2 linked regions of the Styela clava genome follow. Each later gene encodes a partner of the first gene's protein in a complex. Links are inferred from orthologs where the notes say so. Each region holds a gene or a part of one and is shown on either strand. Other genes may lie near its edges.

Region 1 (7,882 bases):
CATTCCAGTATTAGCAAAATTATGTTAGGAATTTCAACGCAGATACGCAATATGAGTATATTTTTATGAGAAGTACTGCTACTGTAGAACAGTCCTTTAGAAGTTTTATTAGAGACATAGAATGATTTCATAAATAATTTTTTGTTACTATCACTGTACAGCAGATAGATGTTAATTATACCGAATGAGTTTGAAACTAAATAACTTATTTGCGGTATATCTATATTATTTCAGAGCTTCAAATAAAAAAGTTATCCTGGGTGTGTGCTCTTTTTTTTAAAATGTGGAATGTATACTAAAGCTTACAATTGTAAATCAACCATGCTTCAAAAAACAAATCCAATTACCTGTTTCACCAATGTCACTTTCTTCTTTACTGCCACCTTTAACTTCCCGTTTGATTTTTGATTCAGTTTTCTCATTTTCAATTAAAATAACAGAATCGTCTGATTCACTTGAGCTATTAAAGTCTTTGATGTCATCCTCTTCTTTAATCTGGATTTTAGTGTCTTTGTTTTCATCAGACAATTCTCTTTGTTTCAATATAAGACAGATCATCGTAAGAGTTTTGCCAAGACCCATATCATCAGCCAGAATTCCACCAGACATAGATTGTTGTTCTCTCCACACTAACCAAGCAAGTGCTTGTCGTTGATGGGTCATTAATGTTACCTGTAGAGAAACAGGGTTTATTTCAGTATATGTGCAATATACGTTTTGGTTCACCGTTCATGGTTATAATTTATGGTACTCCTGAAGTATGCGCACCAAGATGTCGCACAACCTGAACCCTAACCTGGTACACAACCTGAGTTCAGGTTGTGGGCCATCTTGGTGCGTATACTTCAGGAGGTCCTGATTTATTTTAACCGTTGACTGACATCTTGGGTACAAATCCTCTTTATAATGTACTATTTTTTAAAAATGATTACGTCATCGCAAATTTATCTTCTGCGGCATTTTAATTCAAAAAAATATTGCTGATTATGAAAATTTGACAATGATAAATTCAGAATCAGTTTTCGGTCGAAGTAGCCTATATTATAGTTCACAATTTTATTGCAAAATCATATAGGCCTACTTAATGTCATCCAACAAGTGTGCAGGTAATGCTGTTTTTCTTATGGTATCTCAAAATAGAATTTGCACATCAAACACTGAAAATTTGTCACATAAATAACATTTAATAATGGAATCGGGTTTTACTAAAATACTTCCATATGTGCAAAGCATGCTGCATATCATTTTGCAGAAGAGCAATCATGAAACTATCTCGCTTCATGAATAATTTTGATTGATACTGGGATAAGACCACCTGAAATTACTTTGCAGCCATTGTGACGTAACAAGTTAATATTATAAATTATTATGTCAAACGTCATGCTGAGGTGTTTCCCTGAAATTCCCAGCCCTAGCGTTTACACAAAACTGCATTTTCTTACTCAATCTTAGAAGATGACCAAGTATCAAGAAATGTTTTTATATGGACCACACTTGCATACATCTTTTGATGGAATTCATTTATCTAACCTTCAGGCCTTCAGGATCATCCAGTTCTCCTGTGGGTTCAGGTCTCGTTTCCAGAGACTTGTGAAGGTCCTCAATTGCAGCCTTTGTTATCTGGGAATAATAATAATAATCATGAAACTCATTTCAATATTTGGTTATATCTCGGATACTAAATAGTAAATACTACCCAAAATTAGGGTATGAATAATTTTAAACATTTAGGCAATAAAAATGCTGACCAGCTGACTGAATGAAAAACGATAATAAAAAGCTAAGCTTTTAAATTTTAGATTACAATATGAAATATTCTCAAGAAGATTAGAAGTACAACTATGGTATAATATATTACCTGACGGACTTCAGTCAGACGAGCACTTGTCATTCTTCCTCCATATAACGGACCATCGTTAAATTGCATTGGACCCATATCATATGCACTAAGATCTAATTTTCCTGTTCTCGCCCCAAATGGTTCCGCTTTTGGGAACGTAAGTTTTGTTTGAGTAAGTTTCCTATCAGGAGCAGAGTTAAAAGCCATAGGAGGTGCTATCATTACAGCACCTTGAGCATCAGGCTTTCTTGAATATGACTCTAACCATGGTCGTGTATGCTTAGGCATTGCATCAGCGTTTGAAAGAGGTAGTTGATTCTCTTTGTCAATGAGTTTTGAAGGAGTTGAATCATGACTTTTATCTTTATTTTTGCTTTTCATGGATAATTTTTGCAGTTCAAGTTCCAAATTGTTTATTTCATCTTTCAGTCTTCTACCACCATCTGGAAGTTTATCTAGTTTTAAACTGCGAAAAAGTGTTTTTTTCTTACCAATGTTCTCTTTCAGTCTCACAACTTCAGGATCCTCTAGTCTTGGGGCCATTCCAGCAGAATTAGGCCCAGTGGCAGAGACTACAATTGGCCCTTTCCTCATTGCAGGAACAACGCATGGGGGACCAACACGAATTTTTCCTGAGCTTAAATCTATAGGCTTCGGTTTTGGTCTCCGTTCGTGCTTTTCTCTGTACAAATTTTTTTCAACTATTTCACCATGTTTCGAAGAAACCTCTTTTTTACCGTGAACTTTGACATCATGAGGATGTGGGATCGAAACGAATGCTCCGGAGTTACCATTACTATACGTGCCATGTTGGTGTTTATCATGCTTGTGAGGTTGTTTCCTGCTATCCTGGTTCTGCATTTGATGATTTCGTTCAAGTCTTGTAACTGCTTCTGCTCTAAAATCCAGTTTACTATCACGACCAATGTGTTCTTTAACATCGAAGCAAAATTTATCACCCCTCGATATTCCTGATGTAATACCACAATTTCGCATTGTCGTCATATGAAAAAATACATTATCGTGATTAGGGACCGAAAAAAATCCATATCCTTTATCTTCTTTATAAACTGTGACAGTTCCACAATATCTTGTTCCTACAGTCAAAGCCTTACGATTGTGGGAATGATCGTTTGAATTACTGGAACTTACCTCGGCCATTAGGAATATAATACAATACTGAAACTGAGATCAAAGCATTGTCAGATGTAAAACCAAATTAATATTTTTAATATTATTCGAAGTTAAATAAATAGATTAATAATCAGGCTCAACCCTAAATAATCAAACAAAGCAAAAACAAATTCAAACCATCGAAAATAAATAATAAAACTTAGGTAAAACAATAAAATGCATAATTCTGTCCTAACACTTGCATAGAAATTACAAATTAGTTAATATTACTTGTTGAAATCTGCAAATAGAAATGCCTATTAAAAATGGCTTTGATGTAATATAACACTTGAATAGACATGTTTCATTTGATTAAATATATAAGCAGTATATCAGTACAGCAGTATATTATTGTATTTCACAATTCATAACAATAATGTAAAATTTGGAATTTTTTGAAATAAAAAAAAAATTTGAATGTCAAAACAAAATGATTCTATATTTATTATTTTATATTAAGAATTAGTTATTATTACTTTATCGAAGACTCATAAACTAATACATAAGATTCCTAGTCTGAATAAAAAAAAACTGTAATCATGGTATTTGAGCAACTTGAGCTTCTAGCATCAGCAGAGAATTTTGAATTTTTTTGATGCTTTGACCAACTTTATACACAGGAACCATTGCTTTATCAAGTTCCTCACAATGAGCAATCAGCATGTACATCGATTTCATTGAGTCATCAATCTCAACTCCCATAGCTTCAATTGCACTGCTATATGTTTGTGAATTAGCCACAGTAATTGCTGATGTCTCGTGTAGTTTATTAGTCAGTTTCTTAACTATATTGCCAAGGCTGTTAGAGAGTTTTTCTGTTTGCCGTTCAAGATCATCCAGTACAGTGCTATCAATCGCAGGAAAGTCATCATTCAAACCAGACATATTGCAACATTGGTTTGTTACAGTAGCCTACTGAAGTACCAAACAAATATGTATATACTGAAATAATCTGCAACTATTGAACAGACACAGCTGGCATTACTCTATTACAGTTTTACATCACATATTCAGATATTATTGTGAACTGGAACAGATATGAATTATTCATTGCACAAAAGTTTGTTCTAAGACTTTTCAATTTCTTACAATATTTTTACATCACCAATCATAGGCAGAGAGCTGCCCTGTACAATGTGCTTCAGTGACAAATTTATGCATTGCAGCAAACTATGCAATCATACTTTTGCTATCCATATTCAAATACAGAAATAGGCTATATCCTCGTGATAATTTTAACTTAGCACATATCCCAGTATCCTGATATCGCGTTTCAAATGCAGAGAGTGTACCAAAAAAATCCGGAAGTTTATGGACGACGATGTCACAGAATAATAATAATATGTCGACGATAATGAACCCCAAATCACTGAATTATGCTCAACATAACCATGCCAAGGATTCCTCCCCAAGTGTATTACGGTACGTATTACAGTATTATGGAATACGCAAACCGAATTCCCCCGCGAAGAGAACGATCACCCTTTTTTTCTCTTTCAATTATAACACGTGATTTCACGATACCTGCACGCATGACTTCACTCAAGACGATTGCTCGTGGCGAGAGGATCTACTTAGCACATCGCATTTCGCTAGCCATTCTGTAAACAGGCTTCCTCTTTTCCTTTGAATATTTTGGCGTCTGCCTATCATTACAAATCATAAGTCAATCATGATGGACGAACAAAATCAAGATGCCAACTCGGCGCTCATGGAACTTGATAAAGGTAAGCCTGCTTGTAATAATCTACTCTTAGGTCAGTAGTACAATGAATACAACATATGAACAAATAAATAACATAAAATAATTTATTTGAACTCGCCATCGTACAAAAAATGGCATAATAAGGTTTTAACATGGCATAAAAGTAAAATTCTATTGTTAATATATTTGCCTACTGTTTGTATGCTTACGTTTTGGATTGTTTTGATTTATGTTTATGTAACAAAATAGAATAATGGATACATAACATGGGCAATCTCACTTGTGACTGTATGACCATTTACACAATATTGAAAATAGTATATATATCAGTATATCAGTACCGGGTATATCAGTATATGGAGTTATTTTACTTGTTTCTGTGCAAAAATAGTCTGTTCCTACTGTCCTATATTAGCAATTCACTGGCAGACTGGTAAGTGTAAAGAGTTAGATATAGGATAGGATTTACTTATTTATCCTGGGGGAGAGCAAAGTCAATAAAACGGCTTAATCCATTGATGAACCACAGCCTCCCGTTCGGTTACCAGTCCATGTCGAATATGGGATTAGTCAGTCAGGTATTCGTTTTTCGATGCATGAACTTGATGGTGGAGGAAGCTGTACCGACCACCATTCCATCCCCCGCAAGATTCGAACCTGAGAATCCACGCAGAGCAATCAGAGCATATCAGTAATGCTTAGCACGAAGCGCCACACCGCCGAGCCATGAATTTTTGCTATCTTTTAATTTATGTAACATAACATATGGTGTGGCAAGTAATTTTTATTTATTTATTTTTTATTAACTACCAGTATGTAATTTTTCATGTTCCCTTTACTTAATAACTTCTATATGGTTGTGTGTGTGGGTGCGTGTGAGCGTGTGTGAAATATTTCAATTATTTTAGGTGAGTGAACACGTACCACATCTTCTTGGCAAAACCTTCCATCTTATATACATTCTGTACGTTTTAAACCTTATCTAAGGTTTTGTTCGCTCTCCTGATTTCATAATCAGTTTTTATTTATTTATTTTTAGCATTCATTTTATTGTTTTGCTGATTATGGAGTCGAAATAAACTTATACTTATACTTATATAACAGTACCACAGTATCCTGATATTCAAATATTATTTTATTCAATATTCTTTCAAAGGTCTTCGTGCTCAAAAAGTTGGCCAGCAATGTGAAGCAATTGTTCGATTTCCTGGATTATTTGAGAGATTTCCATTCCCAATTCTTATCAACTCTGCATTCTTGAAGCTGGCAGATGTGTTTCGTGTTGGGTAAACATCAGATTCCTTATCAGAAATGAATATTTCTTAAAAATAAATTTGGTTAAGGCTATAGACTAATTGTGTTAGTAAAAACGGTAGCGTAAAGCAGCCTTTTTTATTAATGATGATCAAGCATTTGAAGTAATGAAAATAGGTATGCACTGATACAGTCATGAAGAATTATGAAATGTGTAGCAATTTTATTTGACATGTGTAAATCAACATATGTATTTATATATATAGGCCTACTATAACTGAATCTCTTCATATATTTCCCTCAAGCATCGTATTTTGATACTTGATGTTAGATGAAGCGCAGTCAATCTATTGTCGTATTCAGGTTTTCAGTTTGAATCTTGATTAATAAAACATTAGGGTTTTTATCATTTCTCTAAAAGCATATTTGTCACGAAGTAGGTACAGTTTTTGTTAGTTCGAACAAATCGCAGCGATCATTTTTATGTATATACTTATGGATAGAAATTCTCGGTTTTTAAACATCGACAAACTGACAAATTATTTTTTCAGGAATAATTTTCTTCGTCTTTGTATACTTCGAGTGTCTCAGCAAAGCAATAAACATCTTGATAAAATTCTCAACATAACAGAATTTAGAAGAAGAATTTCTGTAGTTATTCATAGCAATGATCCATATGCAAGAGCAATAACTTTAAGGTTGGTTTTCTAAAAATGAGTTCCTCAACCTTGTTCTACCAGACCGACTATCGCATACAATCTCAATATTTTTTTTTTGTTCATTTTTGTTGCAATTAGGATCTTAATCTATTCATTGTGAACCATTAGTAGGCCTATTTCGAAAGCTGGATCAATACAATTATATTCCTTACCAAATGTATTTCATCATGCTAACTACTTATATTTCACTACTCATTTTTTATTTTATTTAATATGATGCTCACACACTTTGTTCGCTCTTAGCAAGGCTCTTTACGAGCTGCCACTGATCTCTAACAATATTTGGGAGGACCGGGATCTTTCTGACTTGTAATTGCCTGATCAATTACCAGTGGCGTAGCCAGAGGGGTGGTTTTGCGGGTCGAAACCCCCCTTTTGAAATGTAAAAAAAATAAAATCTTTTTTCTGTATCATAGATAGCAATTTTTCGTAGCTTTAAATGCTTTTTAGACCCTCAAGACTAATAAAAACACGCGTATTCTAGAGTCGATTAGTCCCGCTAGCTGTTTCGATCTAACTTGCCAAATAAAAATTTCAGAACCCCCCCCATGAAAATTTCTGGCTACACCCCTGTTAATCACCCTGGTGGACCCCTGTCAATCACCCTGGTGTAGATGTGTGTGTGCGTGGGGGGTGAGATGAGATTTGAATTAGCCAATTTCAATTACCGGTAGCTGTTAATGACTTGGTAATTTTTCAGGATGCTGGGCAGTATTGCTTGTATAATAAGTGATGAAAAAAGTGTTCACCACAGTATAAGACAAGGTTTGGATTCGCATGATCGTGTTGAGCAGGAAGCTGCAATATATGCAACTATTCAATTTGCTTCACATTCGGGGGAATTTGCTACAAGTATTTGCAATAAGATTGCAACAATGTTACAGGGTATGTGCTGTCAACTATCATACATGGATATCTATATAGTGTTTAGAACATTCCAAATTGATGTATTTTTTATCCATCAGTTTTATGACTCAAACTAAATATTCCTATTAAAAAATGGATGTTCATTTTATCATTGTTTCTGTATTTAAAGTTTAGATTTTCTAAGTTCAGCATTGATTATCTGATTTCCACATCAGGAAAGATGCTGGGTATGAGATCACATTATCTAATAAAAGATTGCTTGTGAACAGCCTTGTATGGAGTGAAGGCATGAAACAGTTCATGTTAAAGTCGACCAATCAAATC
Region 2 (7,221 bases), on another chromosome or scaffold:
CTTTGGCATAAAAAATTTGCAGGGTATATTGCTTATGTGTACTGTGTCTGGACGTTCTCCTGGCTGAGTCTCATCATAATCTTTTGAATCACGAAAATATGAATCCCAGTCATGACGAGATGGAAATGGTATTTTGCTTTCTCCACATGTCACCTAAATGATGTTAAATGCAACTTATTTAGCTAATATTTTTCATCACAATTTATTTGATGTGTTAATTACTTTCGAGTTATGTAGAGAAACGCGAGCAGAGAAGGTCAACAATGAAAAATCTGCTATTTTAAATCAATGGTTTTCAACTATTTTCAGCTTGCGGACCATGAAATTTTAAAACCAATTTTGCAGACGGGTAAACCATTTAAAATTTTCTCACATAAGAAAGCTGTACAAATATCAGCAGTAATTTATTTAACATATTTTTAACTGAGCTCAGGATATTCTTTCAAGCGATATTCAAAACTGTGACAATGGCTAGTCTTTATGCTTCGACATCAACAGGGTATCGCAATAGTAAGCTCAATCTGGGTTATGATCTCGCCCATGCATAACTGGTTTCCCAATATTTCCCATATGATTAGCCATTTCATGCATGGTCATAACTGAAAAGTTATTATACGGAGTAACATTTAAAATGACTTTTCAAGAGTGTACACGATGAGAAAAAGTTAGTATCGACAGAAAACGCTAGTTTTATAATTAGAATCGATTTGAAGCTGTGGAGTTAGTAATCACAGGAATGGATTGGGGGTCCTTATGGTGGCAATACCTTCTTTCAGTGGAACTTGTATTATCCATCTATTACCATGACAAATAATTGCACTCTTGCATTTTGATTGCTGTTGTACAGTAATAATAATACGGTTAGCATATACGGTAATAATGTCATCAAACTAGTTCTGAATTTGTGACCCTTCTAAATGCAATTTTGAATTTCTCGGGCTACAATTTTATCTATATTTATGGTTGTTTATCATTTTGCTGAGAAGTACACAAAGAAAAAACTGAATCCGTTATAATTAACTAGACAAGGTATTGGGATGTGCATTTTTAACTCTTAACACTCAACAGTTTTGAGAACCCCTAATTTTGGAGATCTCTCAATTTTTTGAACAGTTCATGTAGGCAAGGATTGTCAAGCTCTAATAAAGTCACACGGACCACTTTATGAAAACAAAATAAAAATTGTTGTACCTTGAGCAAGCCCGAAAACCCAGATAATTTGATATGTTTTCCATCCAACATTGAAACAAATGTAGAAACTAGTGATTTATTTTCCACTTCACCTTCAAATCTAGACAACAAAAAACAATAATTTTAAACAATTTACAGAATCATTTCGATGTAATCAAGGTAAAACAATTCTGCCAAACATCAGATCTGGTATACAATTGACCCCCAATTAAATAGAAAACAAGGTATATCATAAAACTACAACCTAACAAATTCCAAGTTACTCTTTGCCACTCGAAGCAATGTGAATTGGTGAGGGGTGCACATTGTTTTTAACTTTTCCATTACTTCCCAGTTTGATATCGTCTGTCCAACAACCTAAACAAATAAAATCAAGTTAGGTACGCAAAAACAAAGCCTAAAACAAAATACAATCAGGCTATATATGAATAGACCAGGCCAGTCTTTCGGTAGTAACTTTTTACATGAATAGGGCAGATTGGGGAGAATAGTTCCTACAGGAGTGGTGACTCCTCTACGGCCCATGGGCCGGGGCCACGACCCATCTAATTGGGCCACATGGCCCCATCAGGAAAAATTCAATTATCTTAACAAAATTTTCAATTTTTACCAAATTGTCAATATTCAAACCAAAAAAATATACTCCTGTAGTATGTGTACCAGGTTAGGGTTAGGACAAAAAAAATTCAGATTTTTTACATTATAGTTCTATTATGAGTTCGGGGACTGTCTGTGTTAGCCAAGTGAATAGTTTCTTTACACAACTTGATGGGCCGCGGCCCATAGCCTGATGGGCCGAGGCCCAATTCGATGGGCCGTGGCCCCGGCCCATGGGCCGCAGAGGAGTCACCACTCCCACTCAATAGTTCAGTCATTTTAGCATTTAGTACAAAAAAGAGACATAGAGACATAATCATTTTCAGAATATGTACTGCCAAATATGTACAACTGCGATCTTACACCTTCAACCAGTCTGGATTTCATGGCCTTCTTCCCAATAAATAAGGCGTGCAAATGAAAAATCCTGGCGTTCAATCAGTGACGTATGCACACCAAATGTCTGAGCCTACATGCAAATCTACCAAGGCCCCGTGAAAAACCTAGCGTGAAACTAACAGAATTTGAAACACTTGAATACACAAGTGTAAAATTATTTAAAGGGAACATCCCAACTGGGGCTTTGATGCACAGTCCAGTCTACAAAACGGTGAAGATGATGCAGATGTGGATTTTTACATAGGTCAAGTCAATTAATCAGAGCAAACAGAACGTGATAAAGGTACCTATTAAAGCGTCTCACATTTCAAGAGGCCCATATATTTTTTTATTGACATATGTTTTGGCTTGTTAATACAAGCCGAAATATGCGTGTTGTACAGGTGTTCATTGGCTATTTCATTCATTTCTCCAGAAGTTATGGAGGTTACAGGGTTAGGCGGTTTGGTGCAAGTCCAATGCATTATCGTACTGCATTATCTCATTACTGGATTATGCAGCCAATGGTAGATTACGTCAGTTGAAGCTCAGCTCTACATTCTCAAAATTTACCTTCATTTGCGGCAACGCAACGCAGACATTAACTTTAGCGTACGGCTTTAAATGTAGATTCAGCGACGGGCAAAGATTTTCCACGTCTGATAAATCGCTTACAAGCGTTGTATTCATCTCCACAGTATTCCTTGAACGTGCCTTACCCAGCTTGAAAATGGCGAAATGCAGACTAAGTAAAAATCACAAACAGTAAAACACGAACCTGCAACCTGAATGCATTACAGTACTCTGGCGCCTTTAGGGGGCCATTTGGTTGGAGCACAAGTTATTTGTTGTTGTTTAGTCGACCCTTGACCTCGCTAAATTTTTAAGCTCGTTTTGCAAGTGCTTTCACGAGCGGGAGCTCACAGAATTGTTTATTGGACAAGTGGGTGGACCTATGGATCGTTTTGATATTTTGTTGTTGTTCTTGGTAATTTTCGTCTTCATTAATATAAAATCGATTTTCTTTTCAGTTGTGTTCCGGAAATTTAAATCTAAATCAGATAATTCAATGATCACTCTGTGTTATTTTTCGAGAGAAAATTGAGATAATTCCCTGTCCTATTTTCGGGGAAACACGGTAAATCAGAACTCGGAAGAAGGCATTTTGATTTACATCTAAATTTCCGCAAAACTGCCAAAACATCATTTGTTAGGTTAGGGTGGTCCAAACTGCTGCCCATCGACACATTTCGTACGTCTCCAGAACAATTTTAACGTGCACTAAACCAGGGATGTCAAACTCGCGTGGCGTCCTGTTATCAGTACAAGGAAGTGAATTGTCATTTTATCTAAGATCAGTGCCTTAAGCTCGCGAGACGTTTTGTGCCTTCATTTCAATAAAAAGACTACTCTATTTTCAAGACAGCAGTGACGAACCACATAGCTGACGTTGCGCCTCACGATCTATGAGTTATAAAATTAGTCAAATATAACAATTCATCATACAACGAGTTTAATGAAAAAACGTATTCCCTTATCCACAACAACGTTAAACCACAGCGGCCGGTGTGTTTTCAAGTGATAGCTGTCAAGAAAGAATGTAATTTTAAGCGACATAACACAACCGAACGCGAGAAAGGAAAATATCACGGTATTGCTCGGGAAGCAATTTTGAAATACCAAAAGGCTTTATATAACTTCCCTAAAAAACTGATCAGAACGGTACTGATAGGACAATACGTGTGACTGAAAGAGTATATGGACATAAAAATAGCACAACAATAGTAGTTACATCTCTTGCCAACAACTAACAATGGATAAAACTTGAAAACGATATTGCGTGCTAGATATAGGCTACTGTATACCAATGCACAAAACATGAGCTTTGAAATAAACTATCCCTATACTTTATTTGCTCAAGTTTTGTTGATGTTACAATCAAACAAAAAAAAGAACATACGACAATAGCTGTTCGTGAATAATTTTTATGCTGGAAGGGACAAAAAATCACTGGGCCAATTATTTTTCTAGCATAATGTGTAGTAATTTTATATTGATTTGTAGTCAATTCTAATTGTATTTGATCCGAGACAATTTGTTATTTTTCAAAGAATTAAAACACGAAAAGTGTATTTCAAATCGTTCGTAACATTCCCTGATCATGAATGAGCCCAAACCTGAGATTTTTTCGATGTTTCGTAACAAACTTGATCAATACGGTTCGGGACAACTTGAAAATTGTCTAACATTCGAAGAATATTGATGTAATGGTCTTCTAAAGGTTGCAGCACGGCTCTGATAATTACTTAAAATAGCATTTTTATCTACGCTGTAGCAGCGCAATATCTAGTGATGAATTCTGTCAAGTGTCAACATACGATTTGTTGGTCAGAATTGTATTAGATGACCCAGAATTTTCTGACAAAAGTTTTGTCCCAAACTCGTAATTCGTTTCTGTACCAACGATCACAGCATGGGTTACCCCCAACTTTGATGAGTAGACAGACTTATAGATTTTATTGTAGTTTTCGACAATAGTACAGAATACAATCCTAAAACCTCACTGAAAAGATATCAAGCAGTGTTTATACACCTTAATTAAACAGCGAATCAATATTAATAACAAACGTAATAGCGTGACACGTCACATGCAGGAACTCTTATTATTAACCTAATACGGATAATTATCTTCGCCGTGCGGATTGGAATTTGCATCTAATTATTTCAATCCTTGGTATAATAATCTGAGGAAGAAATTTGAAATTGTTAATGACTGGACGAAATATGTTTCTGAAAGCTCAATTAAACTGTAAGATTTGTTTTTTACCAACATCACATTAGACATCATATTGGAAATTTAGGAAAAATTAATTTTGTTGTTCAGGCAAATCGGAGAAAATTTGAGGTTTCTGTTGATGACATATATATACGTAGTTAAGCGATATGAGACAAAAAAAAAAATCATGGAAAATATCGTAACGCTAATAACCGAATTGCGTGAGTCCTTTTTGGCGATTTTGAGTTTTTTATAAAATGGGTATTTATGTAATGCTGCGCACCTTTCGGTTAACTCAGATTTTATTTTAGGAATTCCGAAACCCATGGAGATTTAGTATGACATGCACATTTGTGCAATTGTTTCGTCATAATGAATTATCAGTGTTACCGCAGGACTATTGTGACGTCACAAAAGCAAAATAACCTCGGCGACGTATTTTTGAGTTTTTGCCTCTCGGATTCTAGCTTAGCGCGTATTAATTTGAATTTTTACTACAGTATAGGAAGACGTGCACTTGTGATATTTACTGTCCCGAGTCCAATTTACCTTGGTTGGCTTTATTTTTAAACATAAAAAATAATTTAATTGGAACTGATTAGCTATTTTGGGGATAAGACATTGTAGATACTGAGAATTATATTCGTTTTTGGAATGTTTAGTTTTCAAGACTGGTGCATATAGTGAAGTTGCAAAATTGCGTTAGTCCCCAAGTCATAGACACATTTCTGCCTAAGTCACAGTGCGCCATTATGACGTCACTTAACTGCGTCATACAAATTAACTTAAATCCGACTACGATAAAAAAAATTGAACCATGGCAAATTATTGACTCTCAATGGCATAACAATATCATTAGGAAGTTTTTTACGTTTTTCTCAAAACTGCGAAAAATGACTTACGCAATTCGGTTATTAGCGTGACGATATATATTTTGTCGTTCTGCTTGATTTTGTACGACAAATCGTTGGTGGTTCTTAGGAAACACGGAATTTAAATATAGATCCTGAGATCGATGCAATGACAGCAAAATTATCCTTAGATACCCAAATAACTAGAAAAACAAACTTCAAAAATAAATGCAAATGTTGATTCTTGAAACAATTATGGCGCATTAGCCTATCTTATAAAAATTGAGATTGTACATCCAAACACACTCAAGGTCCCACAGAAAATTCTGTACTTCGCAATATTTTCTATTGCATCATCTATGCACAAAGATAATGTTTACATTCTTATGGCTCAATTTTCTAATGACACTTCTCTTCAAGTTTTTTTTACATATTAATTAATTGCACAGCTTGAGTGGACAAGTGACAGTACAAGAATTGGCAAATATCCTCGACATCAAGATCTGTGCTAATATATATATTACCTAGTATGCCTATCGTCTGGATTGTCTTGAAATTGAAAACAGACGTAACCGAACGATTAAGGCTATGAATTTAAAAGCAATCTTCTGATGTACCGTGATGAGCGTTAGGAAATACGATTTCCATCGCGTGACTGACTACCTCTGCGTCAAATACAGTGGTAATGGCTGATACGTTTGCTGGTCCGTATGTACCTAACTGGTCTGCTAATTTTATACCCGACCTGACGTCCGTATTCTATGAATCTACTGTAATTGTCTTGAAGACTACATTTCATCAGAGTTGTAATATGATTAAGCTGGTGCTATTTGAGTTCACAAGGTAGTCCCCATAACACTGGCGCTAATGTTTTTACTCCTGTAGCTTGAGGTCGTGTAAATTTAATAATTGCGAATCTGAAAATTGTGGAGCAATATCTAACTTCTTGGGGAGACAAACGTAAATTTTATCAAGTCATAAAAATATTTTCGCTCATTACGCCAGGAAAGCGAGACGGTAAGTTGATAACAGCCCAGATGTAAAGCGCAGATATTTTGAAATGGCATAAAAATAAACCATAATTATTCGAATCTAACTATGTAAAGCTTACTAATCGGTGTTTTCAAACTCGCCAGTTCACTACTATCTCACTACTTGTCTCAGTCAAATATGATATCGCTAGGATTTACATCACACGTCGCTTTGAAGACGAAAATAACTAGACAGAGTTATACAAAATGGAATAGAAATAAAGTAGAAAATTTTTACATCAAAGACAGCAAAATTGTTGATCACATTGCACAGTGAGCACAATAGGAAACACTCAGTGAACAGTGAATTGTACATGTATTTATGATAAGTATCATAATGTTTGTTACGGGTTTTATCCTGACTTGAAAAGAAGAATGGCGATTTGGCCTAAATAAA

The links. The genes of interacting proteins can lie anywhere in the genome.
Region 2: transcription termination factor 2-like (region 1) and A-kinase anchor protein 17A-like share a complex: the UniProt entries of both Homo sapiens proteins name them as parts of the spliceosome. The link is inferred for Styela clava from reciprocal best matches to the Homo sapiens genes TTF2 and AKAP17A.

Annotation. Positions count from the first base shown.
Region 1 is NC_135253.1:7,957,331-7,965,212, forward strand, and holds the start of transcription termination factor 2-like, read right to left. Parts: upstream 3,006-7,882; 5' UTR 3,002-3,005; coding exon 1,859-3,001; intron 1,621-1,858; coding exon 1,531-1,620; intron 673-1,530; coding exon 348-672; intron 1-347. Other genes in the region: BLOC-1-related complex subunit 6-like, read right to left, coding at 3,551-3,898; integrator complex subunit 7-like, read left to right, coding at 4,686-4,740, 5,875-6,004, 6,524-6,670, 7,392-7,576. UniProt on the Homo sapiens protein: DsDNA-dependent ATPase which acts as a transcription termination factor by coupling ATP hydrolysis with removal of RNA polymerase II from the DNA template. May contribute to mitotic transcription repression. May also be involved in pre-mRNA splicing.
Region 2 is NC_135263.1:13,032,223-13,039,443, forward strand, and holds the start of A-kinase anchor protein 17A-like, read right to left. Parts: upstream 3,004-7,221; 5' UTR 2,857-3,003; coding exon 2,740-2,856; intron 1,549-2,739; coding exon 1,436-1,548; intron 1,292-1,435; coding exon 1,192-1,291; intron 154-1,191; coding exon 1-153. Other genes in the region: dynein light chain 2, cytoplasmic, read right to left, coding at 7,178-7,221. UniProt on the Homo sapiens protein: Splice factor regulating alternative splice site selection for certain mRNA precursors. Mediates regulation of pre-mRNA splicing in a PKA-dependent manner.